7 linked regions of the Macaca fascicularis genome follow. The protein of the gene in region 7 purifies or fractionates together with the protein of the main gene of each other region. This does not show direct contact. Links are inferred from orthologs where the notes say so. Each region holds a gene or a part of one and is shown on either strand. Other genes may lie near its edges. The genes, in order: RET, KDR, PRKCD, SOS1, GAB2, AP2M1 and SHC1.

What was found.
Region 1: the proteins of SHC1 (region 7) and RET purify together in Homo sapiens (affinity purification with western blotting; 4 studies listed by BioGRID and IntAct, with this or other methods). This does not show direct contact. The link is inferred for Macaca fascicularis from reciprocal best matches to the Homo sapiens genes SHC1 and RET.
Region 2: the proteins of SHC1 (region 7) and KDR purify together in Homo sapiens (affinity purification with western blotting; 3 studies listed by BioGRID and IntAct, with this or other methods). This does not show direct contact. The link is inferred for Macaca fascicularis from reciprocal best matches to the Homo sapiens genes SHC1 and KDR.
Region 3: the proteins of SHC1 (region 7) and PRKCD purify together in Homo sapiens (affinity purification with mass spectrometry; 3 studies listed by BioGRID and IntAct, with this or other methods). This does not show direct contact. The link is inferred for Macaca fascicularis from reciprocal best matches to the Homo sapiens genes SHC1 and PRKCD.
Region 4: the proteins of SHC1 (region 7) and SOS1 purify together in Homo sapiens (affinity purification with western blotting; 14 studies listed by BioGRID and IntAct, with this or other methods). This does not show direct contact. The link is inferred for Macaca fascicularis from reciprocal best matches to the Homo sapiens genes SHC1 and SOS1.
Region 5: the proteins of SHC1 (region 7) and GAB2 purify together in Homo sapiens (affinity purification with western blotting; 6 studies listed by BioGRID and IntAct, with this or other methods). This does not show direct contact. The link is inferred for Macaca fascicularis from reciprocal best matches to the Homo sapiens genes SHC1 and GAB2.
Region 6: the proteins of SHC1 (region 7) and AP2M1 purify together in Homo sapiens (affinity purification with mass spectrometry; 3 studies listed by BioGRID and IntAct, with this or other methods). This does not show direct contact. The link is inferred for Macaca fascicularis from reciprocal best matches to the Homo sapiens genes SHC1 and AP2M1.

What each region holds. Positions count from the first base shown.
Region 1 is NC_088383.1:52,371,225-52,374,724, reverse strand, and holds part of RET (proto-oncogene tyrosine-protein kinase receptor Ret), read right to left. Parts: intron 3,390-3,500; coding exon 3,148-3,389; intron 1,932-3,147; coding exon 1,736-1,931; intron 1-1,735. UniProt on the Homo sapiens protein: Receptor tyrosine-protein kinase involved in numerous cellular mechanisms including cell proliferation, neuronal navigation, cell migration, and cell differentiation in response to glia cell line-derived growth family factors (GDNF, NRTN, ARTN, PSPN and GDF15).
Region 2 is NC_088379.1:78,793,592-78,797,091, reverse strand, and holds part of KDR (vascular endothelial growth factor receptor 2), read right to left. Parts: intron 3,342-3,500; coding exon 3,000-3,341; intron 836-2,999; coding exon 689-835; intron 356-688; coding exon 224-355; intron 1-223. UniProt on the Homo sapiens protein: Tyrosine-protein kinase that acts as a cell-surface receptor for VEGFA, VEGFC and VEGFD. Plays an essential role in the regulation of angiogenesis, vascular development, vascular permeability, and embryonic hematopoiesis.
Region 3 is NC_088376.1:116,296,965-116,300,972, reverse strand, and holds the start of PRKCD (protein kinase C delta type), read right to left. Parts: upstream 2,801-4,008; 5' UTR 2,581-2,800; intron 1,771-2,580; exon of another isoform or gene 1,645-1,770; intron 1-1,644.
Region 4 is NC_088387.1:83,039,229-83,043,234, reverse strand, and holds the start of SOS1 (son of sevenless homolog 1), read right to left. Parts: upstream 2,801-4,006; 5' UTR 2,171-2,800; coding exon 2,084-2,170; intron 1,954-2,083; exon of another isoform or gene 1,830-1,953; intron 1-1,829.
Region 5 is NC_088388.1:77,317,322-77,321,361, forward strand, and holds the start of GAB2 (GRB2-associated-binding protein 2), read right to left. Parts: upstream 2,801-4,040; 5' UTR 2,699-2,800; coding exon 2,621-2,698; intron 1-2,620. UniProt on the Homo sapiens protein: Adapter protein which acts downstream of several membrane receptors including cytokine, antigen, hormone, cell matrix and growth factor receptors to regulate multiple signaling pathways.
Region 6 is NC_088376.1:96,097,113-96,100,482, reverse strand, and holds part of AP2M1 (AP-2 complex subunit mu), read right to left. Parts: intron 2,352-3,370; coding exon 2,086-2,351; intron 1,025-2,085; coding exon 942-1,024; exon of another isoform or gene 582-941; coding exon of another isoform or gene 543-581; intron 345-542; coding exon 209-344; intron 109-208; coding exon 1-108.
Region 7 is NC_088375.1:106,179,118-106,182,152, reverse strand, and holds part of SHC1 (SHC-transforming protein 1), read right to left. Parts: coding exon 2,964-3,035; intron 1,691-2,963; coding exon 1,492-1,690; intron 1,405-1,491; coding exon 1,335-1,404; intron 1,253-1,334; coding exon 1,118-1,252; intron 956-1,117; coding exon 717-955; intron 1-716. UniProt on the Homo sapiens protein: Signaling adapter that couples activated growth factor receptors to signaling pathways. Participates in a signaling cascade initiated by activated KIT and KITLG/SCF.

The sequences.
Region 1 (3,500 bases), on a different chromosome or scaffold from region 7:
CTGTTGCATCTCATTGCAGCCTCAACCGCCCAGGCTCCAGCCATCCTCCCACCTCAGCCTCCCAGGTTCCTGGAATCTAGGCGTGTGCTACCACGCCTAGTTAATTTTTCGTATTTTTTTGTAGAGACAGGGTTTCACCATGTTGCCCAGGCTGGTCTTGAACTCCTGGACTCAAACAATCCATCCGCTTCGGTCTCCCTGAAGTGCTGGGATTATAGGTGTGAGCCACTATGCCTGGCCCATAAAATCTTGTTAAAAACCTTTTTTTTTTTTATTACCCAGGTATAACGCGGTTTACTTTCCATCCTGACCCTGTATAGCATCACGCGACACATAGCAGGCCTCCTTAACATTCCTTTGTACTGACCTGAAGTCTTTAGGCAAAGCTTAACTCTTTCAACCAACTGTAAATTAAAGAATCTCTGCATGTACCTCTAACCTGTAAGCCCCTGCTTTAAGATACCCTGCATTTTGGGGCCAAACCAATGCATACCTTCCAAGTGTTGATTTATGTCCTTGGTTATAACTCCTGTCTCCCTAAAATGTATAAAAGCAAACTGTAACCCCACCACCTTGGACCTGGGGACCACTTACTCAAGGTTTCTTGGGTTTGTGTTTTCTCCAGGCTGTGGTCACTCATCCTGGCTCAGAATAAACCTCTTTAAAATGTTTTACAGAGTTTCGTTTTTTGGGGGTAACAGGGTGTGTGTGTGTGTGTGTGTGTGTGTGTGTGTGTGTGTGTGTGTGACATGGGGGCTTAAAGGTCTGCATTACCAAGGCCCTGGGAAGAACATGCTAGAGCCCTCCAAACAGCTTCCCCAGAGCATGGGAGAACTCCCCTCCACTGCAGGAGCCTCCAGCAGACCCAATGACCCTGCAGGCCAAGCCTTGGAAGTCATGCCGTCCGTGTACCTGCCGCGTGCTTCCGCTCTAGTTCTCATGCGGTAGAAACAATGATGGGAGGGGCACTCTGGCAGACAGGGTGTTCAGTGCCAGGGCAAGGAGGCTGTCTCCCTTCTGACAGGTGGGGCCTCCATAGGCTTGGTGAGGTGGGGAGGACTGAGGAATGAACAGGACCAGGCCAGGCAGAAAGGGGCGAAGGACCCATGGCCCGGGGTTCCCCCAGACACAGACCCCAAATGCAGGTGGTTTATTTGGAAGGCCATCCCAGGAGAAATCAGCAGGAGGTGGGGGAGGGAGGCAGGAAGCAAGGCCTCAGCTGAAAGGTGCCCTGCAAGCAGGTGAGCATGGTGGCACATGTCAGGAGTCAGGCAGGACAATGGGCTCAGAAGCCCTGACCTGGCTCAGGGCTGCTTCTGTATACCAGACTGTTTAGCAGAGAGCTGATAAGGCTGGAGCAATAATCCCTAAGCATTTGAGATACCTTAGGGGCAATGATGGAGTGCCAGGGGCGGGAGGAAAGCCTCAGGTGACATGTATGTTTGCAATCAGTGGTGAGCCCTGGCGAGGTTAGCATGGGGGTGTGGTAGGGCCCTGCCAGGGTCGGCCATGGTGCAGCTCAGGAAGAGAGGACCCATGGTGAAAGCCCTGCTGGTGGATGGAGGGCAGGCCTGGCAGAGACACAGGAAGTGCTTCGAAGAGGGTGGAGGGGAAGTGGCTTGGGCCACAGAGGGCCATGCCAGGTGTGCATGTGTGTGGGGTGCTGCTTGCCCATGAAGAACGAGCACTTCATTTCCTGGGGGCCCAGCCAGGCCATGCCACCAGCCCCTCTTACTATAGTCATGTACGGTCGCCCGCACGAAGCTGCCGTTGGCCTGGACTGAGGTCTCGTTGGGCCAGTGCTCCACCCGGAAGGTCTGCTGGGTCCAGGTGTCCCCGGGGAGCAGCGTGCTTGTGTACCGCCTCACCAGCTCCCCTGACGCAGGTACCACGTCTGCATCGAAGACACGCAGAGTGGCCACTACAGTGTCCTGCAGGATGCAGAGGGCGTTGGTCAGTGCAGGTGAGAGTGGCCCCTCAGACCCCCCAAAACCAGAGACCTCAGGATGCTGCACGTCCCACGCAGCCCACAGGTGGACCAGGTGTGCGTTGTCAGAGCCAGGTATGGGGACTGTCTGACCTAGATTCAAGTTCCCACGGGGTCACTGGCCAGCCTGGCCCAGTCACCTTCCTTGAGCCACTGACCCTCTGTGTAACAGGTGCAATGTAGACCTCTTATAGGGAGAATTACAGCTGATGCCCAGGCACCCTGCTGGCAGGTCCCATCAAGGTCCCTAGAGAGCAGAATGAGCACCTCCACTCTCCCCTGAGGAAGCTGGGCCCTACAGGGTGAAGGTCAGGTCAAGGTCACACAGGAACAGATGGCAGAGCCGAGATCCGAGGCCAGGTGTACATCAAAGCACTCTGCTCGAAGCATCCTCCTCCCCCAGGCTGGAGGGGGTTGTGAGGAAAGCCGCGGGGCACCTGGGATGGCTCTGCGCACCAGGCCTCTGCTGTCACCCCTAGGCGGCCCAGGGAGGCCCACACAGCCTTTACTCACAAGGTGTACTTTCGGTCAGACCTCCTTTCCCTGCCAAACCTGCACGTGGTGTGCCCAGAGAAGCGGCACAAGGTAACGCACTACCTCAGTCTCCACGCCCACTCTCCCACGGCCCCGGCGGAGTGGGCCGGTTGCAGGAAGGCCTGAGGCTCAGCAGGTGGCGGTGGCGCTCCATCAGCGCGAACCGGAGAGGGGCGGGGCGGGGCCGGGCCGGCGGCGATCCGCCTTCCTGTCCCTTTCCAATCCCCGGCACCGCTCCTGGTCACTCAATGGCCCTCCCATTGGGGGCTGACTGCTGGTGGGAGGGAGTGCCCTCCCGGCAGATGCTCCCCGCCCGGGCAGCGCGCCGCGCCCGCCTGCAGCGGCACAAGTGTGCCCCAGACGCGAGCCCTCGGGCCTCATCCTGGTCAGTCCCAGACTGGGCACCCAGGGTTCCCAGCCTCCCAAGGCAAGACCCCGCTGGGTGCTGACAGGACTCCCCCTTCTCCTCCCCCTAGGACAGAGGGGGCCGACGGAGACGAAGGACAAATGAACGCGTGAATGGTCGGCCACATGATTGGGTGGCTACACGGACACTAAACTGACAGAGAAACGAACTGCGGCGGGAGACAAACACTGGGTAGACCACAGCACGCGCGAACAAGCACCTCCTTCCGCTTGAACTCCACCACGGCGCTGGCGGTGTCGACGCCCGCGGGGAATGTGGGCGCCGAGTCGTCCTCGTCGTACACGGTCACCGGGAAGGGCACCATTACCACCTCCTCGCGCGCGCCAGCGTGCACGGTGCACACGGCCACCAGCTCGTACTTCTCCCGCTGCTCGCGGTCCAGGGCCCAGCGCGTGCTCACCTCCAGGCTGTCCGGGGCGCAGCGGAAGGGCAGACCCTCACCTGCGCACCAAGCAGACAGGGGCCCCGCGTGATCGCCAGCCGGGACCGGGCCAGCCGCCTTTCTCGGGAAGGGGGCTCTGCGGTCAGAGCGGGGCGCACACCGCACGCCAG
Region 2 (3,500 bases), on a different chromosome or scaffold from region 7:
AGTGTGTGTTATTCCCTTCCCTGTGTCTATGTGTTCACATTGTTCAGCTCCCACTTATAAGTGAGAATGTGTGGTGTTTGGTTTTCTGTTCCTGTGTTAGTTTGCTGAGGATAACGGCTTCCAGCTCCATCCATGCAGCTGCAAAGGACATGATCAGATTCCTTTTTACAGCTGCATAGCATTCCATGGTGTATATGTACCACATTTTTTTTATCCCACTGACCTTCTATTATGAAAAATGCCTCCACTTTTGCACAGCCAAGAACACTGCATGCCTGGCAGGTGTAGAGGCCTTCGTCCTCCTTCCTCACTCTGCGGATAGTGAGGTTCCGGTTCCCATCCTTCAATACAATGCCTAAGAGAGGAAGAAAATGATCATTCTCATTTATGATGATGTGGTCTGTGAAGTTTTTTAGGGAAATTTAGAAACTATAAATGCTGCCCTTCATCTTGTTCCATTGTCTAACTTCGTAGAGTCACATGGGATCTACTGCTGACTAATCTCCTATATGGCTTTCATGAAAATTCAGCAAGGCCCCATACTCCAATTCCAAGTGTATGAAATCAGCCAGGCCATGGACACCAATACTGCTTTTTTTCTACATTATATCAAGAAATAACATAGCTTTTTATGTCATATCCCTGGGAAAGTTCTGCAACCCAAGAGTAATAGCCAAGTTCTATTTACCTGAGTCTTCTACAAGGGTCTCATTATCTTTAAACCACATGATCTGTGGAGGGGGATTCCCAGATGCCGTGCATGAGACTTCAATGGTTTCCCCAATACTCGTCGTCTGATTCTCCAGGTTTCCTGTGATCATGGGTGCCACGCGCTCTAGACACACACAAAGAAAATCACAGAACATGGAATTAAAACTTTTGAAATGGCTCTAGTATCACCAAACTTTTAAACAGTTTAAATTTAGTAAAAAGAAACTTGTTGATTTATTAGGTTGAACATACACAGAAGTTAATAACGGCACCATTGGTCACTGGGTAAAGTTAAATGAAACAAGTCAGTCAGGACACTGCAAACAGATTAACGGCTTTTAACATTCATATTAGTGATACTAGCTGGTCATCCCATCACAAAAGAAAGGTTCAGGGTCACCTCTATGGATTTTTCCCGTAATCAGGCACAGCCTCCCCAGCTGAAAACTTCCCTCCTGTGAAGGTTCTAGTCAATGACACCCTAGAATCCCTTCAAATTTCTCTTGGAAGTGCCAAATTTTAGTATCATTCAACAAATAATGCCTTACATTTATTTGGCAATTCTTATAAAGTTTGTTTATACAATTTGTGTTCCTCACTATTGATCTTACGTAATGAGCAGAATAGGACTGTTAGTGTTATCTCACAGATGAAATAAATGATGTTCAGTGACATTAAACTACTTGTCCATGTCCCTACAACTAAGTAAACACTTGAACTGTTTACTGAATCTGGTGAGGCTAAAAGACCAGTTCAGTGCTATTTCCACTAAAACACAAGCAAAACAACAATACCCTAAGGGAAGTCATGGATTTAAAGAAAATGAAGCCCATGAGTATTTGTTTAAATGTACAAGAAAACTTTAGATTTATTCTTTCTTCAGATCATCAAAGTGCTGTGGAAATATCTTGTCCCAACCAACTGAACATCAAAAGGAATCATGCTGAAAAAATCCACTTCAACACTTAGCAAAATGAGATTACCTCAACAGCGTACTACATTGAAGTCTAAGCAAATGTACTGGATTCTAGCCTATTTCTAAGAATAGATTTTAGGAAAACAAGTTAGGAGTCCTTAAGGAAGCAAACCAGCTAACTGTGAGCACATATTTTTCTGGGCAAAGCTAGGCCAGGAGCCTACTTCACATCTCTTTCTCAATTCTTCCATAACCTTGAAGCCAGACCAGCCAACAGAAAATCCATGGTGAACTATGTGGTGTGACTTGAAGGGTCCTGGGGATGACTTGACCCCAAAGTATCTCTTCTTATGACACCTGAGTCTTAAAACTAGCGAACTTTATGCTAGTGTCTGTCAGAAGCTGCCTCTTCAAATACGTCAAGGCCTCTGATGAAGACATTACCCTCAAACCGTGGTATAGATGAATTTACTTGGGCAATTTCCTTTCTAATGATAAAAAAAAAACAGAGGGCACATATATCCTAGGAATTGAAAGAGACACCAAAAGAGGAGAAAATAGAGAGAAGTGGCGCAAAGAGACGCTCCCCAAATTTGCCTGATTTTCCCACAGACAGAGCCATGGCTGCCCAGTTTTTGCACAAGGCATGAGGTTAGACAAGGGGTAGAGAGTGCCCCTATGGAGGAATTTACAGAGCTATCTGCTCACTGAAGTGATCGTCCCATTGACCTTGGACCATGCTGGACCATGTAGGTTCACCCAGAGGTACAGACAGACCCAGAGGTACAGAGAGAATGTAGCTTTCTTCCCATGGAATCTTCTAGGTCTTAAACTCAGTCCATCATCCCACTCTTCATGAAGCAGGTGCCCTTTTGAGCACTTAGTGTATGCTGCTATGCTGTATGACTAGAGCTACAGCAGGGAGCAAAACAGAGAACAATTCCTATCCTCACGGACACAGAGACCTCACTGTGCTGTGACTTCCCAGTGATTGCCTATGTTCCCCTCCTTTCCCTCATGTTTACCACTGTGAATTTCTGACACTCTCCTAGCTCATAACAGGCATTCCACAAATATGCATCTGTTTAAATAAATAGATGCCCAAGATAAGGCAGAAGTTTCCCTGGTTCAAGCTAATCCCTTGCATATACTAGTGAATTACTCCATCATCAGGTTTTGTTATTTTCTCTTTTCAATACATCATTTCATTATTAGTAGCTTCTTTCTGCCTCAGGGACTTTCAGTGAAGAAGTGCGCACCAGTTTACAACACGATCTCCTAGAGAACAGTAATCTTCGCATAGCACCTGAATTGCACTACATTTAAGGCATTCCAACTGCCCCTACACAATGATCCAGAATTGTCTCCCTACCGAGGACTGTGAGCTGCCTGACCACGCAATGTCTTTTCTTGGTCTTCCTGTCTTGAGCAACGCAGACATAGTCTCCTTGGTCCTGCAAGGATGCATTCTTAAGCTCCATGATCAAAATGTCATTTGTGCTATTAGAGAATATAGTGGCATTCAATTTCCAAAGAGTATCCAAGTTCTTGCAAACAGGTGTGGGCAACTCTCCCACGTGGACTGGCAGAGGCTGTGGGCCAAGCTTGTACCATGTGAGGTTCTCAAATGTAGATTTGTCTGCAGTGCACCACAAAGACACGCTCTCCTGTTCAGTGGGCTGCAAGTCAGGTTGCAAAGTAATTTCAGGACCCCCTAAAATGTAAAGACCATTGTTACTGAATGGTGATTTAACTTGGTATAGCTCACTATCATCTTGCTGCTTTCAGACTACTACAAAGTACCAAAAGAAATGAAGCTCTATCAGTTCCAGGTGATGTACTACAACTTGACAAACAAACTAGACAATTCAGG
Region 3 (4,008 bases), on a different chromosome or scaffold from region 7:
TCTCCTGGCTGAAAGGCCTAAGCATTTTTTCTGACAGCCAGCTCAAGCCTCTAAGAAAGATTCTGCTCCCCAGATGTGAGCCCCTCCCCCAGCTGGAGACCCTCATCACCATTCCCTGGGGATAGAGGCATCCTTGGCTTTATCTTTTCGTCTGTACTTTAAATTATTTCTAATTTTAATCTAAACTGTGCCAGCTAAATGGTGTCAGCGCCCTGCAGTCACAGCTCTGAATCACTCCCCACCCCTCTCTCCCCCATTGCTGCTACTGACACTAACGGCTGGTGAGGGAGGGGCTGTCATGCAGGCTGAACAGGGCTGGGTACTAGGGGCTTTGTCTGGGCATCCTCCCTCCCTCAAGCTGCTTGGTCAAGGAGATGGGAAGGGGCAACAGACAGGCAGGAAATTGGGTTGGATACTGTCTGGGCTTTCTTTAACCCCAGCTCCCAGGAGAATGGGAACCATATAGCCGGGGGTGGTGACAACATAAGACTTCAGGACCTTTTGTCCACACAACTTTCTCCATTCTGCAGATAAAGACACTCAGCCTTGAGAGGCCTAGCTTGGGTCTCTTGCTCTTAACAGGCACAAGCAAGTATTGGAGCCCAAATCATTCTTGGATCCAGAGCCCGAGGTCTTGGTCACAACACTGCTAACCCCAAGACTTGCCCTCTAGCCCTCTCCATGTGCACACCCACATCCTCATGGTCTCCCACACACTCACACACCCATACTGGGCTCTCACCTTCCCTCCCAGCACTGTCACCACACACCTTGTCACACCCCCTCCTGCCGCTAACACCCACGCCCAGGCACTCTCCGTTCCCCACAATCACAGTCACTCCCCAAGCATAGACTGTGTCCCACCAGTCACACACTCCTACCATGACCACACACTGCCAGGCTTACCCCAGTACCGTCCCATCCCATAGTCCTCACACCACCCCTCAGCCAGGTACAGCTGCCCAGACACCTCCACACCTCTCTGTCTCACACACACACACAACTGCACACATCACACATGCGCCATACAGCCTCCCTCTGTTGGCCTGCCCACCGCGCCCCAGCTCACTCCACAGTAGGAACGAGGAAACCCCAGGGATCAGTCCCCTCCCTTAGTGACCAGGTGAGCCTGGTCACAGAAGCTCAGTGGCAGAGGGAGAGCCACACATGAGTACACGCACATACACACACTCATACAGATACACTCACACATGAGCCTGGTGGGCAGGCACCCAACACCAGGGGCTTCCACAATTAACAGATCTAAGGTACTTGTGGGCAGTTGGTCACCATGATATACCCAGTATGCAACACTGAAATCTCCAGACACACAGGGACACACACACTGGCAGACAAGGACACACACACACACACAAGTCTGGTGACAACAAAAACACCAAGAATGGTACACACAGTTGCAAAAGACACACACAGAGCCTCAGGACACAAACAGACATACACACATACACACAAGCAAGCCACACATGCGAAAAAGGACACACATGCACAGGCAAGTCCCACAGTGACAGCACAGAAGCTGACACAGACAACCCACACACCCAGATACCAGTGACTTAGCACAAGGAGATAGCGTCCATGCATACAGGGTAGGCATCAGAGAAGGGGACCCCCCCACACACTCACAGCAAATCCTTCTGACCAGGTTTAAGTGGGGGCTCAGTGGGGCTCTCCTGTGCCCCAAGAGTGAGGGAATTGGGGAAGTGGGAGCAGTTCCGATGGTGCTCTCCTTCTGCCTCTCCACCACCAGCCAGGAGGACTTCCCCCTCCCTCCCCTCACCTGGCAGAGCCCCCACAACGCGAGTGGCATCTGGGTTGGGGGCGGGTGCAGACCACACCGGGCAGGGGCCACCCTGGGAAGGGGTCTCAGAGGGGCGGAGGGGTGGGGCAGTAAGGGGGATGGTGGAGACTGGAGCCACGCCCAGCCCAGAGACGGATGAAGGGACCGAGAAAGACTCTTGAGACCGAAAGAAGAGACAGCGAGGAGGAGGCGCCGCGCGAGTCGGGCCTCCAGGGACCCAGGGGCGGGAGGCGAGGCCCGGCGGGCGGCCTGGCCTGGGCTCCGCGGTAGAGCGGATAGGCGGCTGGACCGGCAGGGGGCGGCAAGCGTGGGCCGGGGGCGCGGCTCCGGGAGAACGGGATCGAGGGGGCGGCCGGCGGGGGTAAGGGTGGGGGTGGGGCGATGGAGCACGCGGAGGGCGAGGGACAGACGGATCGGGTCTCGGAGAGGCGCGCAGGGGGAGAACACAGAGTGGGTGGCGACAGACGGACGGTCACAGGGCCCAGGAGACAGTCGGGAAGGACGGACGGGCCTCTCGGAGGAGCGGGAGACACACGGGCGGGCGGACAGAAAGACCTCAGCCCCCACTATCTGGCGGAGGGACGGACAGACAGACGGACGGGGGGACGGAGTCACCGGCATGTCTCGGCGCGGAGGGACTTTCGCTGACCGCGGCTCAGTTTCTCAGTTTCGGAAACGGGAACCGGGCCGGGGAGGGGAAGAAAGGGCGTCGCGCCCTCGGGGTAGCCCCGATCCCGCGCCGGGTCCCGGCCCTAACTCACCTCCCGGCGCAGGGGCAGGCGCCAAGGGTCGCGGCGGCGGTGGCGGGCGGGCGGCTCCTTGGCGCGCGCGGACGGCGGTCGGCGCGGCGCTGACTGGGACGAGTCCAGCGGCCAGTGAGGTGTGGCCCGGGCCTCGGCACGGCGGGCGGGCGCCGGGGGTCGCTCGGGGGATCTGGGCTGCAGCAGCCTCGGGCTCCGGCGCCGCGGCACACGGAAGTGCGAGGGGGCGGGGCGGCGCGACCTCACCCAGGTGCCGCCGGCCCCGCCCCCTCCAGGCCCCGCCCCTCCAGGCCCCGCCCCACCAGCTGCAACCGGGGACTGTGTCCCTCTGCCTCTTTCTGCGCGGGACACTGAGTCTCCCGGCCCCTCTGCCCTCTGTGGCCCGCTTCGCATCCTCCCGCCATTACGCGCAGCCAGCCCTCAGAAGGGGCCCATTTTACAGAGGAGGCCGCTGAGGCCCGATAAGGAGGCGCCCCCCGCCCGCTGGGGCCTGGGAGGCGCCGGCGGGGGTTCCCCCGCTCCCCACACCCACGCCCGGGACTCCCCACTAGCCAGCTGGCCCGCCTCCCTTGGCCCCACTCCTGCTCTTCCTGTTGGCTGGAACTCGGACGCGGCCGGGCTCGGTGCCCGCCGCCAAGCCCGCTGTCCCGGCTCTGCCCCAAAGACTGAGCTGGTTACACTCCAGGGCCGGAGGTTCTCGCTGGTCGGCCGCTGCACTGCTCCTCAGGCGGTTCTGGGACCTGCCCCTACCCCGACTGGCAGTTGCCCCTACCCCGATTGGCAGTCTTCTGCTCTCCTGCCCCCATCTTCGAGACCTCTCTATTGCTCCTGGCAGGCGCCTGAGCCTCCTTTCCAGACGTGGAACTTGGTTGTCAGCCATAACTCATTCATTCATTCATTCATACACTCATCCATCTATTCATCGAGTGTCCCCTAGGCTCAAAGTCTAGGGACCAGTTGGGGTTCTAGGGTGTCCATTCCCCTGTCCCCAGAGCTCAGAAAGCCAAGACATTATTCTTATACTGATCCAAAGAAATGTCACTTCCCAGGAGACAAAAAAGAGGGTTCCAGGTCCTGGGGAACCACCTAGAAGGGATAGGGAAAGTCTAAACACAAGGGATGGAAGTGGGGGACAATCCCAGAGGTGGCCTGAGCTGAGAAAGGGGCTTGTGACAGAGACAGGTTATTGGACTTTGGTCTTCTTACGGAGCAATGAGAAGGTGGTGAAAGCTGTTACAATCAGTCAGGACGACAGGCTCTAGAGGGCTCCTGCGGGATAGATGGGGCAGAGGGACTGCAGGGCAGAGGAGAGGCTGGATGGGGGACAGAAGGGCTGCCATGTTGTCAGCCACCTGGGTTGAGATTGGGGAAGATGGATGGGGAGAAAAGGTCAGACCAGGTGGGTTCCAGGACTATCCTTTGGGAAAG
Region 4 (4,006 bases), on a different chromosome or scaffold from region 7:
AGGTAAGAGTAAGAGAACACAAGTTGGATGCATCTACAAATAATTCAATAATAAATCAAAGGAAGAAATCAAGATATGGAGATATCCACATGAAATGTCCAGCAGGCAGGTAAAAACGTAGGTTTTGAGCTACCAACAACATATCCAGATATGAAATATACTGTATTTTCAACCTTGTTTAGAATCATTGTTAGTGGATATTTAAATAAGAATTGGAAGAACCTTACATATCAGCTAGATTATGTACACTTCCACCTCCTCTTATCACTTCTACTGCAAAAATATTTCTAGCTTAAAGTCAAAAGCTGGTTTATGTAAATATGCAAAAAGGACAAGTGGGGGCTGTGGTAAGGTGGAGATACACGACCTGTCTAAAGAAGGCAGCCATTTACTCACCTCCAGCAGTTTAGTGCCTCGCTTGAATACAGACCCTAAATGACAAGACCTTCCTATTCGTCAAGAAAAGCAGAAAATTCAGATTTTATGTAATATCTCCCATTTTCAAATATTAGCAACTAATTACATTTGAAAATAAAACCACACTGTGCCAGCCAAACAAAATGCTTCTGTGGACAGATTCCAGCAAGGGCCACCAGTGTGGCAGAATTAAAACAAGGTCTGTCAACTCCTACAATATTCTTTCCACTACTTCAAAGAATTCTCAGCTGATAGCTTGGTGATTCCCTAAGAAAGCAGCTGTTTTTGCCTCTAAGCAAAATGGCCCCTATTTGGCAATACTTTATGAGTTCCTTTACAGATTTTTAAACAATTTCCCTGTCTTCTCTTACCCTATCCGGACACCAGCTTCTAGCATCACAGAGACGTCCTACACCCATTCCATTGCAAGCTGAGAAGCCAAACTTGCAAGTAAAGCAAAAGTAAGGAGTGAGAGCCTGATGGGATTTCTAAGGAGTAAAGTATGTAAGATACATGGCATCTTTTTGGTTTTCTTTAAAAAAAAAAAAAAAAACACATAGATGTTTGTGACTAGTCAGACACTTGAAGGGGAAAATGTCCGTAACTTAAGTCAGAAATATATGAGCAAATACTCCTGACAAACCAAATAGTTTCCACTGTAAGACAGCAAGAGGGACAGGAGGAGAACAGGGCAAAAGGGAAAGTAAAAGTTACTGGCCTTTGAGAAATATCAGACAGCTTTTAATGTTTAGCATAAAAGGTACAACATTAATCTCCATTCTTAGTAGAAGCAGTTAGCATGAAACATTCTTTAAGCAGCAAGAAACTGGAATTTAGAAACACTATTAGAAGAGTAAAGCAATCTTTACAGAAAAGGTAAATGAAGAAAAGGAAACAAAAATAGTCTGGTAGTCACACTGCTGCTTTAGAAGCTTTAAAAATGTAACAACACTTCCTAATTATACTAAAACATTTAAAAGCACAGATCGGGGGTATGTAACAATGTAGCAAACTTAAACATACAAAGGCTAAAAATTCTTAACCAAATGACAGCACCAAGTTTCTAACGCTGCAAAAACAAAACAAAAAAACCCCGAAATTGGTAGCATGTGCACCGGCCCCTGTTAATCGGAGGAGCGGGGGAAACCAGGAGAATGAGGAGTGATTGCTGATGGCGAACAGAGCAGGCCACGTTACTGCTGGCAGGCGAGCTCGCAATTCCTTTGAGCAAGCACTACGGCCAGGGCATTCTCGAAAAGCCACTAAAACGAGCGTACTGGACACCTAAAACGGCAGGCTGACAGCAGCTCCGCGCTAAGACCGAGAAGGCGGAAAGGTGGCCTGCTTTGACCTCCGCAGAAAACTGAGGCTCCTGCAACTGTTGTCTTGGAATCAAAGGGCAAAGCATTCACCTCTCAGGGGTTGGATTATTCGGATAAACTCCCGCCAGCTCCCTGCGGCCTTCCCACACACCCGGTGGATGTCAACACTGAGAGCCAGCCGTATGGCGAGCCTCTCAGTGTGCGCCGTCCTTCTGGAGACGCGGCGAGACCGGGAAGAAAGACAGCCCTGCGCGCGCCCCGCCTCCCCAGCCCTTCCCCAGCGCCAGCCCGGCGCCCGCGCTGGGGTGCTGCGGCCGGGAAGCGGGGTCCCGCGTGCTCCTCACCTTTTTCAGCGCAGGCACCAGCAGTCCCCGCCACTTGGGCGCGTTCTCTTCGCTGAAAAACTCGTATGGCAGCTGCTGCGCCTGCATGGTGCCCCCGGGGCGCCTCTGGGCGGGGAGAGGGGCGGCGGCGGCCGGGCCGGGGAGCTGCGAGAGGGCGAGATCGCAGCACGGAACAGGGCCGCGGCCCCACCGGACGGCCCGGCCCCCTCCGGGCGCCGCGCAGCCGGGCTAGCCCTGGTGAGGGGGCTGGGGGGCGAGGCCCGCGCCCGGCCACACACCCGACACGGGTACCAACTGTGGAGAACGAACGCGGCCCGGAGGCGGCGGCATCCCGCACCACCGCCCCGGGGCCAGGCCCCCCGCGCCTCCTCCCCGGCCCGCCGGCGCCGCCCGGGGCTGCCCTCTGCCGCGGCCGCCGCCCGCCCGCCCGCCGGGGCTGCACTCTCGGGCCCGGCCTGGCCCCGCGGCGGAGCTGGCGGCTGGGGGAGGACGTGTGGAGGTACGCTCCGGCCGCGGCGCCCGCTCTGCTCAGTTGGTACCCCGAAACGCAGGAGCCCCGGGCGGGGCTGAGCTGGGGCGGGGGTCTCACGGGGAAGGGGAAGGACCCGAGGTCGTTGTTGGGGAATCTGGCTGCCCTGAGGTGCCGCCGCAGCCGCCGCCGCCGCCGCCGGTGTAGCGCTAGAGCTTCCTACTAGCGAACTGAACCTGCTCGCTACTGAGCATGCGCCGCCGGGCTGGGCTGGTTCGCTCCGGGTTTTCCGGCTCCCGGTGAAGGAGGAGGGAAGCTCGAGAGAGAGAGAGGGAGGGCGCCTGGCCAGGCTGTTGCTGCGCTCCTGGGGGCTGCAGGGGAGGGGCGAAAGGACCCGAGAAGTCGAACCCTGGCAAAGTGGAGCCTGCAGGGGTGGGTGATAACTAGGGTAAAGAGGCTCCCCATTGTGTGGTCTGGCCGTGAGGGCTCCCACCCCTCTCGGAATCCCTGGGCCCTTCGTTTCGGAAAGGGGTGTGTGTACTTTGTTCCTGAACACGAAGATAAGGACTGCCCAGAGCACGCAATGTATAGTAAACAGACTGGACAAAAGATACAGGTGCTCTGTCACGAAACCTACTGCTCAGTATCTGCTGAGTAGTAGAAGTGATTGCAGTGTTTCTAACTGGTCTTTCCACAAAACCAAGAATAAAATGTGTACGTGTAGTATTGATTTTGTGTGTATGTTTTAGATTCCCTCTGTTCATCTTTTAAACCCACTCCAGATATGAACTCCAATAAACACTTTCCTCCAGTGGATATCGAGACCTCTTCTACAGCTCCTAGAGCACTGCACTTACGCCCTTCTCAGGGCGTTCAGTCTATCGTGTTTTGTATCTTTTGAGGTTCTTTCGACTAGATAATATACTGGAAGGCCGATCTTTTTCACCAGGGCCTCTACACAGAACAGGCACTCAGTGAATATTAGTGGAATGCTAAAGGAGCAGTATTTATAAACTGTCCCTCCAGGCCACTGTTTGTTTATAATAGGGGCACTTTGTGGCAGACACCTTATGATTTATCATTAATTATCACTTTTTGAGTATCATCTCATTTAATCCCCATAGCAACCCTATTATTTTCATTTCACCGATAAGGCAGTTTAGAGGAACTAGCCTGGGTTAAAGCTGACATTGTGTCCTCCTATTCCTGAGAACAGTAACCAGATCAGGCAAACGAGAAAGGTTCAGTGGTTCTTAATCTTTACAGGACCTCTTTGAAAATCTGGAAAAAACTCTTAGGTTATTTCCTTTAAAAATATACAGGCCGGCCAGGCGAGGTGGCTCATGCCTGTAGCACTTTAGGAGGCTGAGGCAAGTGGATCACCTGAGGTCAGGAGTTCGAGACCAGCCTGGCCAACATTGTGAAAACCTGTCTCTACTAAAAATACAAAAATT
Region 5 (4,040 bases), on a different chromosome or scaffold from region 7:
AACGCCCAGCTAATTTTTGTATTTATGGTAGAGACGGGGTTTTGGCCAGGCTGGTCTCGAATTTCTGACCTCCAGTGATCTGCCGGCCTCAGCCTCCCAAAGTGCTGGGATTACAGGCATAAACCACTGCGCCCAGCCTTCGAATTAAATCAGTTTTTAAAAAAATCGTTTTAAATAGTTATAACCTAGTTCATCAACTACTTTTTCCCCTTATCTCATATGCTTGTGGCATTCTTATAAAGAGGATTTCTCAGTACAATATAACATGACTATGATGTATACCAGAAGCAGCAGCTACTTTGGGGTAAATATACAGCCATTAGGCTGGGAAATACTTTCCAAGTTTGGTTCTGATGAACTCGGGCCTCTACTGAAATAAGCAAACTAGCAGAGTTTTAACTTACAACAGGATGCAAAAATTCTTAATACCCCCAAAAACAGTAGACGTAAAAGAATACTGTTCCCCGGAAGCTTAAGGTTACACAGATCAGCAGTTTCAACTGGGGGGAAACTGAACTTTCGAAAGGGCAGAGGCTTCCAGTCATGTAAGTGAACACATCACATCCTGGCCTAAGAAAAGCTGTTACTGAAAGCTGTTAAGGTCTGACACCTGATGGGCTGAAGGTGCATCGAAGATGGGAAAGAGAGGCTAAGGCCATCACACGATTCTAGATTCGTTCAAATGAGTGAAAAAGGTGCTTGACCCAAATGCCTCCAAACCTGGTTTTTTTGAACTAAAGTTGTTTGGGAACAAAAACACCCAAGAAATGGGTCATAAAGAGAGTCTGGGTGAGCGTTCAAGGAGCGGTAAGTCAAATGGAGATACAATGTCATACTGTTTGCAAATTGTTTCAAAAACAAGTTTCAAGGTTTAGTGTAGTGTTCAAATTTGAAAACTAAGGGTCACTTTTTCTTTTTTTTTACTGTGGACACTCTATTCCACTAGCTTGTATGGAAATCTATTTGTAAAGATAATTTTTGGAAGCTCTTTGGGACAAAGTTTTAAAAATATTTATTAAATTGTTAATAGTAAATCACTGCTCCTTAATCCTAATTAAAGTATTCAACCTTCCTAACGAACTGATACAAGCCTGAAGAGGAAAAAAGTGTATTTCTTAATAATTATACTTTGGCTACATAGACACTCCTAAAAATGAGCTTTCAAACTGAGATGAACAATTCACTGCTTCATCCCTCCTATAAATCCACGTCCACTTTCAAAAGTCATGTGCTAAATCAGAATTTTTTTTTTCCTAGCAAACATCTACGTAAGAGCCTGATTTCATTGACACACACACTTGCACTCCGCAACAACAACACTTCCTTTGAAAAACAGAATGTCACTTCCTCAGTCCAGAGGCCAGAAGTCCCTTGATTCTGATCTGGGGAGCCAAGACAGGAAATTCTGGTAGGCTTCTGCTTCTCCCCCCATGGACAGCCACTGGTGCAGCTGACAGAGGGCAGGGTCTATTCCGAGCTCCCTTGATGCACTGCAGCTGGAGGCAACGGCTCCCTTCCAGGCTGTGGGAGTGATCCCGGAGTCCGGCACCACAGCCCGTTAAACAAGGGCATTTCATGGGAAAAGGAGAGGGAGCAGATGAGAGACCTTGAAACCTTCCAGCCACCTTACCCCCACTTCCAAACTCCCGCGACTACCCCAGGACCATTTCGGCAAAATCTCAGTAACTGGCACCATCTTGTACTTTGACCTCACCAGGCAAGGCATCCTCTGGGGAGAGGGGTTAAAAAAAAAAAAAAAAAAAAGCCAGAACTCCACGGCTCAGCGCCACGCCGTTCCACCTCCCCCAAACTGCCAGTTCCCCACCTAGAGGGAAGAGGCTGTTCCAGCGATGTCAGTAAACACTGTGGGTTGGCAACACCTGGGCGCCGAGAGCCTCGATCTCTCCCGACCCCAGACAACCGGGAGCTGCCAGGTCCCAAACCCGGGCCAGCCACGGGGACCAAACTGCAGTGTCACACCGGGGTCGGGGGAGGCGCCTGTGAGAGACGAACGGAATAAAGGGAGAGAAGGGGGACAAACAAATGAGTCACTTAATACAAGGGCTGCACATGCCGCTGACGCTGCCGGTGATGCAGCCGCGGACGGAGTGAGGCCGGCGGCCGGGAGGGGCGGGCGGAGAAAGGGAAGGAGAGGGCGTGAGGCGCTCGCCCTTTGTGGGGCCGTCCGCGCGGGCCCACAGCCTACGCCCCCCTTTCCCGCCCTCTCCCGGACCTGTGAGCTGAAGCTGCTAGGGGCCGCCGCGGAGCCCCAGCCCCGAGAGTCAACTCTCTCGGTCTCCAGAAGCCATCAATACAAACTTCGACACTATATTTAGTTTACGGGCAGACCGCCTGGGGAGGCGCCGACGCCGCGCCCGCCTGGCGGAGCAGGAGCCGCAGCCTCAACCTGCCGCCCGCCCCGCCCCGCCCCTCGGCGGCGCACCTGTGACAGGTGTGCAGGTACCCCACACGACCCTGGCCGCTCCTCGCCCCCGGCCCCCGCGGCTCCGGGCCCGAGCTCCCCAGCCTGCCGCCCCTCCGGGAGCCCCCCGCCCCTCCGCAGGCCCCGGAGCGCCCCCCGCCCGCCCGCCCGCCCCTCGGCGGCCGCGCCCGCACTCACATAGCGCCTCAACTTCTTCTCGGGAGGCGATTTCCTCAGCCAGCCGGTGCACACCACGTCGCCGCCGCCGCCGCTCATGCTGCCGGCCTGGAGCCCGCCGCTGGGTCGCGCGGACTAGGGCGCGGGCTCGGGCAGCTGGGGCAGCGGCCGGCGGTGCGCAGCTCGCGGGAGGCCAGGGGCGGGGCGGGCGGCCCGGCGGGGACTAGGCGGCGCGGCGCGCGCCCGGCGGCCTCGCGCGCGCCCGCTCCCCCGCCCCGAGCGCGCGCAATCCGCACTCTCCGCCGGGCCGCCGCGGGGGCAGTTGCAGCGGGAAGGCCGGCGCGCTCGCCACGCCCGCTCCCGCCGCGCCCCCGAGGCCGCCGCGCACGCGGACGCGGGGCTGGGGATCCGCCAGGACACAGAAAGCCACCGCCGCCGGCGAGCCCCGGAATCTCGCTTTCTCCTGAGGCCTCAAGCTGCGGGCGCGGAGGCCGGGGAGGCGGCCGCGCCCCTGGCGCTGGCGGGCGTGCGGAGAAGGGACTGCGCGCCCTCCGTCGTCGATCGATTTTTCACCGAGCGTCGACGGGGAAGGGATCCGAGGGTTGCTCGCGTTTCCGATCCATTCTGCGGGTCAGGTTCCTGCTGAAAGGAGGGACCCCTTCCCAGTAAGAAGTTCCTTAACTCTGGCGCCCCTCGGCGGGAGGAGGAGACGGACCTACTACGCGCCGGAGCCTTTGCACTCTTGGCTTACAGGATTGTCTTCAGTATTGTTCCCATTTTATGGACTGCCTAAGGGCAAGGGCTTGTACAAAGCCTAGCCAAGTTTCCAATTCAGGTGTGTGGGGGAGGAGGGGTCCCAGTCATCCCCTATTCAAAATGAGGGCATTGCCTTAATGGGATCAACCTGGGAGCCTCTCATTGCCTGGAAACAAAGTCCAGCTGAGTCCCTCCTACATTGCCTCTAGGAAAACAGTTAAGTATAGAAAACTCGCATGATTTGTAGAATGGAAGAAGCAAACCTAGTAAATATATTTCATAGTGAATTGGAAGGCAAGGTCAAGTGTAGAAGAACAAGAAATTGGGGTCCAAATTCCCCAACGTCCCCGCTCATTGACAGTGTCTCTCCAAGCAGCATTAAAAGGCAGGTCCTCCCTAACTTCTCTGATAAGTGGATAGTATCCTGTTTATTCAATGGGGAACCGTGCTGTGTGGACAGATGAATTGGAGAAGCAGCATCTTGCACTGCCCCACACAACCTTAGACTAAAGCTGTTTTGTTCATTTCTGTCTCTGTGCAGCTGAGATGTTTCAAGCAGTTGGACATCATTTGGTCCAACAGATCTTGATTGGGTTGGGGGAAGTTCACCCTCCTCAGTTTGGAAAAGCGAATCCGCTATCACGTACTTAGCTCTTCTAGATACCCTAGGAGTTTTAGCAGTCAG
Region 6 (3,370 bases), on a different chromosome or scaffold from region 7:
GCTTTTCAATAACAATCTTGTCATTCATCCCAAACTTGCATTCAGGCATGCCACTCAGGTAGCTCTTCATCACCACCCGGCCCGACACATGGGCACTCAGCACCTGCCCTGATGATGGAACAGATAAATGGGGAGCAGCAGAGTCAGGCAGGCAGACCCAGGATCCTGCCCTGGTCCCCCTCCAGCTTTGTTGTGAGAGGGACCTCACCTTGTGGGGACATGAGCAGGTTCACACTCTCCAGCACATCCAGGAAGAGCTCATTCCGGCGATACTTGATACCCTCTCGCCGCCAGCCAATCTGCCCAGTCACCTGGCTGGTGATCTGTGACTGCTCTTCTTTTGTCTACATGGGAGCAGAAACAAACAGCAAGAGCCTCACTCCCCTCTCCCTTTAATCATCCTGTCTCTATCCCCACTCCACCCTCATTCCCCATCCCTTCTAGTCCCCACCTGTAATCCATTTTCCCCTATAAGCCCCAAAGGGCAGGGCCTGGAGAAACAAAGCAAAGCTGCAAGGGCGGAAGCTAAGGGAAGGGCTTACCTGATGCTGGAGGCCGCAGGGCCAACGAGGTGCCCACATGAAGTAGCAAGGGAGGCAGAAAAGGAGGAGAAAGCTATGAGGCTTGGATCCTATAGGAGAGGGCCCAAGCTCTCTCCTCCTGAGGAACACCAGGCCTCAAGACCAGGCCTCCTCCCCCAACCCTCAGTGCAAAAGGAAACTGCTTGAGCTGTATTCCTGGTAACAGAGATGCTGAATTGGCTGCTCCTGCAGTGGGAGGACCACATAGAGCAAAATAGGCCTGCAATCATGGCAGGAGGCTCAGGCCAGCACTTCCTGTTATGGGAGGGCTTATGAGTCAGCTCAGACAAGGCTCAGGGGCCAGCTGAGATGAAGGGAGATTGGCCTGCACCCTGACTATAGTCTGCACAATTCAAGTACCTGACTCTTGATGCCCTGCTGCGTGATGAAGGTTTTCAGCGCGCCTGTCTCGGAATTCTGTGGATAGCCAAAGTCTAGAATCTCTGAAAAAGAAGGGAACCATCAGCCCCTGAACAAACCTTCTCATTCCAGTCCCTACTTGGGCCTACACATGTCTGACTGGCACAGCTCCCAAAGACCATGTGGGATCATCTGCAACAAAGTCTTCTAGCTTTGTAGCATTTATTCTGTGATTTGTGCTTTACAGGAAAACAATTCAAATGTTTGATTTTTTCAAATAGAGAAATCAAGGCCAGGCGCAGTGGCTTATGCCTATAATCCCAACACTTTGGGAGGCCAAGGTGGGAGAATCACTTCAGCCCAGGAGTTCAAGACCAGCCTGGGCAACATAGCGAGACCCAGCTCTACAAAAAATAGTAAAAATGAGCCAAGCATGGTGGCATGTGCCTGTGGTCCCAGCTACTCAGGAGGCTAAGGCTGGAGGATTGCTTGAGCCTGGGAGGTCAAGGCTTCAGTGAGCTGCGATTACACCACTGCACTCAGCATAGGCGACAACAGTAAGACCCTGTCTCAAAAAAAAAAAAAAAAAAAAAAGAAATCAATAGAAGAGTCACATGGCCAGTGGGTGGCAAATCAAGAAGCTTTGAGCTGTTTTCTCCAGAAAATAGACAATGGGAAGGTGGAAGGATTCACCTTCCCTTAGATCACACTCTACAGAGAAACAGAGGTAACAGTGCACCCCCAGAGGCTTGTAGTATCTCAGTCTCCCCCAGGCTCTGAAGCAGCTGCTGAGATGGAAAACTGGGTGGACAGTCAGTGAAGTAAGGTCCAAGCCACAAAGGAAAGAGGATGAATACAGGAGGCTCACCACCAAACCTGAGTCAGGTTCCTAGCCCCGTGGAAGACCAAAACTTCCCCTCCACACCTGCTGGCCTATTTCTGTGTTCTACTTCAGACCAGCCTTTAGGTTTGGATGTGAACTGGCCTTCTGAGGGGCATAGAGATCCTAGTCCAAGAGCCCAGATACTCAGGAAAGAAAGTTCAGAGTGTACCAGAGCCTCGGACCTACACCCACTTTCAGGCCAGGCCCAGCCTGGTTCTTTCCCACCCTAGGCCCCCTGCCCTGCCAGCCCACCAGCCTCACCATCCAGCAGCTCATATATGAGTACAAAATTGTTCTTGATGTTTTCCTCGCTGATCTTGCCAAAGTAGGCAGCCATCACGTCACACATCTTATAGAGGAATTCGAAGACCATGGCAGCGTTGACATTCTGCTTGGTGACTGCTGCCAGCCAAATGTTGGACCGCTTAACGTGGAAGAAGCTGGTGCGAGCAATGTTGGTGACGGGGCTGCGCACCTGCTGCCGGGCATGGATAACATTGACCCGAAAGGCATCCACTGCGTTCCTCCTGAGGGGAAAGGGTGCACAGGGCCTGCTCAGCACCCAGGCGAACCTTACCCCACAAGGATCAACCACAGCTGTTAACAGCTCCACCCACCTTTCTGCAGAAGTCTGACACACACAATCTAAAGAAAGCCAATGCCTAAACCACTGGGGTGGTTCCCTTCTTATGACTCCCTGTGGAGGCATGGGAAGAGTGCCTGAGCTGGGCTAGTGTCTAAAGGCCACAAGAAATAGGGAAGTCAACTATTAAGGCCGATGTAACCTTAATAAAGTGAGGTTCATCAGGTTTAGAGACAGATATTCTTGACTCCCAGGGCTGGCCCTAATTTCCCAGCTTTATCTAGCTTCCCTGTAAGCTCCCAGGTCCAGGACAGAAAGAGACACTGCTTCTCCAGTCCTCCCACTAGTGATCCCACCAGTGGGGAGGGCCGACTCCTCCAGATGTTATACAAAGCCAGCATGGCTTCAGAAGTCACAAAGGAGGAAGTACCAAGGGGCCATGGAACTGTGCTACCCATTCTTGCCCAGGATCCAACTCCAGAGCAAGTTCAGGGAATGAAAAAGGATGCAGGAAAACAATGATGGGGGCAGGGCCCCCACCCACCTGTACCTGGGCAGCAGCTTGAGAGGCCGCTTACCTATTGCTACGGCAGTCAATGAGATGGGATGAGAGAAATGACGCCAGCAAGAAGAGGAGAGTGACAGCAACGAGAGAGAGGGTTAGACACACAACACACCGGGAGGGCAGCACACACCGTGAGGTGGAAGCAGACAAGACAGGCAAGGTGGCGTGTGACCCAGCCTTGGCTTGCCTAGTCCATCCAACGCAGGAGGGGGGCCGGGGGTGGGGGTGGGGGGTGTAGCCAGCCAGATTCAGGCAGGCCAGACCTTGCCACAGCTGCAGCTCTAACTCATGCCACACCACCAGCCAATGGACAAACACCCGCAAGGGCCAGGCCAGCCCATCAGCCAGGGAGCCAAATGAGGAGCACTGCCACAGGCCCATTCTGTGACTTTATCTCA
Region 7 (3,035 bases):
TGGTCTGACTCCTGAGTCTGAGGAGCTGGAGAAGCCCTTGGATCTTCTTACGAAAGGAAACTTGCAGTGTCTAGCCTTTAACCATGTGACATTGGGCCTCACAACCTCTTCGGGGTGGTTTCCTTATTTGTAAAAATGGGCACAGATGAGATGACTGCCTTCTAGCTCTGATAAGGCTTGGGGATTTGAGGACGGGCCAGGACTGTATTTGTTTTGTTTTGTTTTTTTAGACAATCTCACTCTGTCACCCAGGCTGGAGTGCAGTGGTGCGATCTCAGCTCATTGCAACCTCTGCCTCCTGGGTTCAAGCAATTCTCCTGCCTCAACCTCCTGAGTAGTTGGGACTACAGGTGCCCACCACCACACCCAGCTTATTTTTATATTTTTAGCAGAGATGGGGTTTCACCATATTGGTCAGGCTGGTCTCAAACTCCTGACCTCAGGTGATTCACCTGCCTCAGCTTCCCAAAGTGCTGGGATTACAGGTGTGGGCCACCACGCCCAGCCCTATAGTGCCAGGACTATAAAGAACACAGTTCAGGCTAAGGGATGAGCCCCTGGAGGAAGATGCCAGACACCCTAAAGAGCAAGAGAGGCCCACAGAGAGCTGCCTAGCGGGAATGTCTAGAAAGCAATGAGGGAAGGAACAGGGATACACTGTAGGGTACTGTACCTTCCTTTCTGCCACCCCTCACCCACACCTCTGCCACACTCACCACACCCTCAGGGTCCACCAGTAGCAGATGCTTGGGCTGCCCACTCTGCAAGCCAGTGAGCACATACTGGCCAGGTGTGGTCGTGCTCTCCCGCACCAGGAAGTCCCCGTTGAGCTGCAGCAGTGCCTCAGCCTCCCGCCGACTCAGCTTCCCATGGAACCAGGGCTCCCCTCGGAGCTGCTCAGCCATGGACACTGACTGGGGAGGTGGAGGCACCCGAAGAGCATCTTCAAAGGGCTCTGGAAGTGTAGACAGAGGGTGAGGGAAAGTAGCAGACACAACACACACCCAAGACCCAGACTTCAGGGAAGGGAAGTCAGGAAGGAAAGAGCAGATAGGCAGGAGAAGGGCCAGAACCAAGTAGAAAGGTGGAGATGCAGAGAGGAAAGACAAGCACTCACTCATATCAAACAGGTCACGGGGTGCACTGCCATTGACAGCAGGATTGGGGAGCCCAGCACCACCCACTGCTTGCCGGACCTTGTCTAGGTTCTGGACGTTGACATAGGAGGGATCGTCAAAGAGCTCTCTGCCTGCTGAGGAAAGACAGGTTCTACAGTGATCCCCAGCCCTGCCTCCAGCACTCCCTGGCTCTGTCCATCTCAGCTCCCTTCATACCTAGACAGGGTGGTGGAGGTGGCATCTGTTTTCGGACTTCTGGATCTCCCCCAACAGGCTGTCCTACAGGCTGCAGGGATAAAAATAAGGTGAGACCAGAAGCCCTAAACAACCACTCCCACCCTAGGCCCAGCCCACCTCCATCCAAGCAACTTACCAGTGTAGCTCCCAAGTGGCTAGGGGTCTGGGCACTAGGTGCAGTGGATCGAGCAGCCCCTGGAGCAGCTCCTTCCCGAAGCCTCATGTCTACCACCCCCCCCAGGGGGGGTTCCTTCCCCGGGAAGTCATTATAGTACTGATGGTCAGGTGGCTCTTCCTCTTCCTCATCCCACGCTGAGCCATCAAAGCCAGCCATCCTGAGGGACAGGACAGTGAAGGTGTAGCTGTAAATGTGTGGTGGGCAGGAGGAGGGGAGGAGGGAATAGAACAGCAGCCATCTATTGGGTATTTACTGTGGATTAGGCCTGAGGCTGAGTGTTTTATATACATAATCATTTCATTCTCCTGGCAACCCCATAAGGTAGGTATTGTTTCCTTCCCCAATTTTACATATGAGGAAAATGAGGGTCAGAGGTGAAAAGATTTGCCCAAGGTCTCACAACTAAAAGGCGGCTAAGCTCAGATTTAAATTCAGGTTTGATTTTAAAGCTCGTCCCCCTTGGCCAGGTGCAATGGCTCACGCCTATAATCCCAACACTTTTAGAGGCCAAGGAGGGAGGGCTGTTTGAGCCTAGGAGTTCAAGACCAGCCAGGGCAACATAGCAAGACCTTATCTCTACCAAAATAAAAATACTACTACTCAGCCACGTGTGGTGGCATGCACCTGTGGTCCCATCTACTCAGGAGGCTAAGGTGGGAGGATCACTCAAGCCCAGGGTATGAAGGCTACATTGAGCTGTGATTGCACCACTGAACTCCAGCCTGGGCTACAGAGCAAGGCTCTGTCTCAAAATAAGTAAGTAATGCTTTTGCTCTTGATCTCTGTGCTCTCTCCCAACAAGGAAGGGAAGCACTATGGGGTGTGTGTGTGTGTGTGTGTGTGTGTGTGTCAGCAGGGAGGCGCTCCAGCTCCAGAAGCACTATGGGGTGTGTGTGTGTGTGTGTGTGTGTGTGTGTGTGTGTGTGCGCGCGTGTGTGTGTCAGCGTCAGCAGGGAGGCGCTCCAGCTCCAGATTTTACCTCTCCTAAATATTCAATCCCTACTGGCTCCACTGCTTATCCCTCAAGGCCTGAGGTGGGAAAGATTGTAATCTCAGGGAAAAGAGATATCCTCCCAAACCCAAAGTCTTGATGGCTTCTAGAGGCAGGAAAACACAGAATGCCAAGCAGAGAAATGAGCAAGAAAGAGGAATGGGAATAGAAAATCCCACCTAGCCAGAGAGAGATGTAACTTGGAGGCCCCGGACTACAGCTCCACCATGAGCAAACAAGAAAAGCTGGCCCTGCGGCAAGCAGGGCCTCAAAAGCCTTTGCTCCTGGGCCACAGGAAACAGAAGAATAGCAGGAAGTGGGAAGCAGAGGCACACAGGTTATTCCCTCCCTGAACCTCTCAGCTCAAGTGTGGGAAGAACAGCCCTCCTTTCCCAATCTTGGTCTCAAAAGCTGCTCCACACTCTCCCCACTTGCTCACCTGTCATGAGGGGTGACCAGTTTGGGTGGGTTCCTGAGGTATTGTTTGAAGCGCAACTCAAAGGCCTGGCCA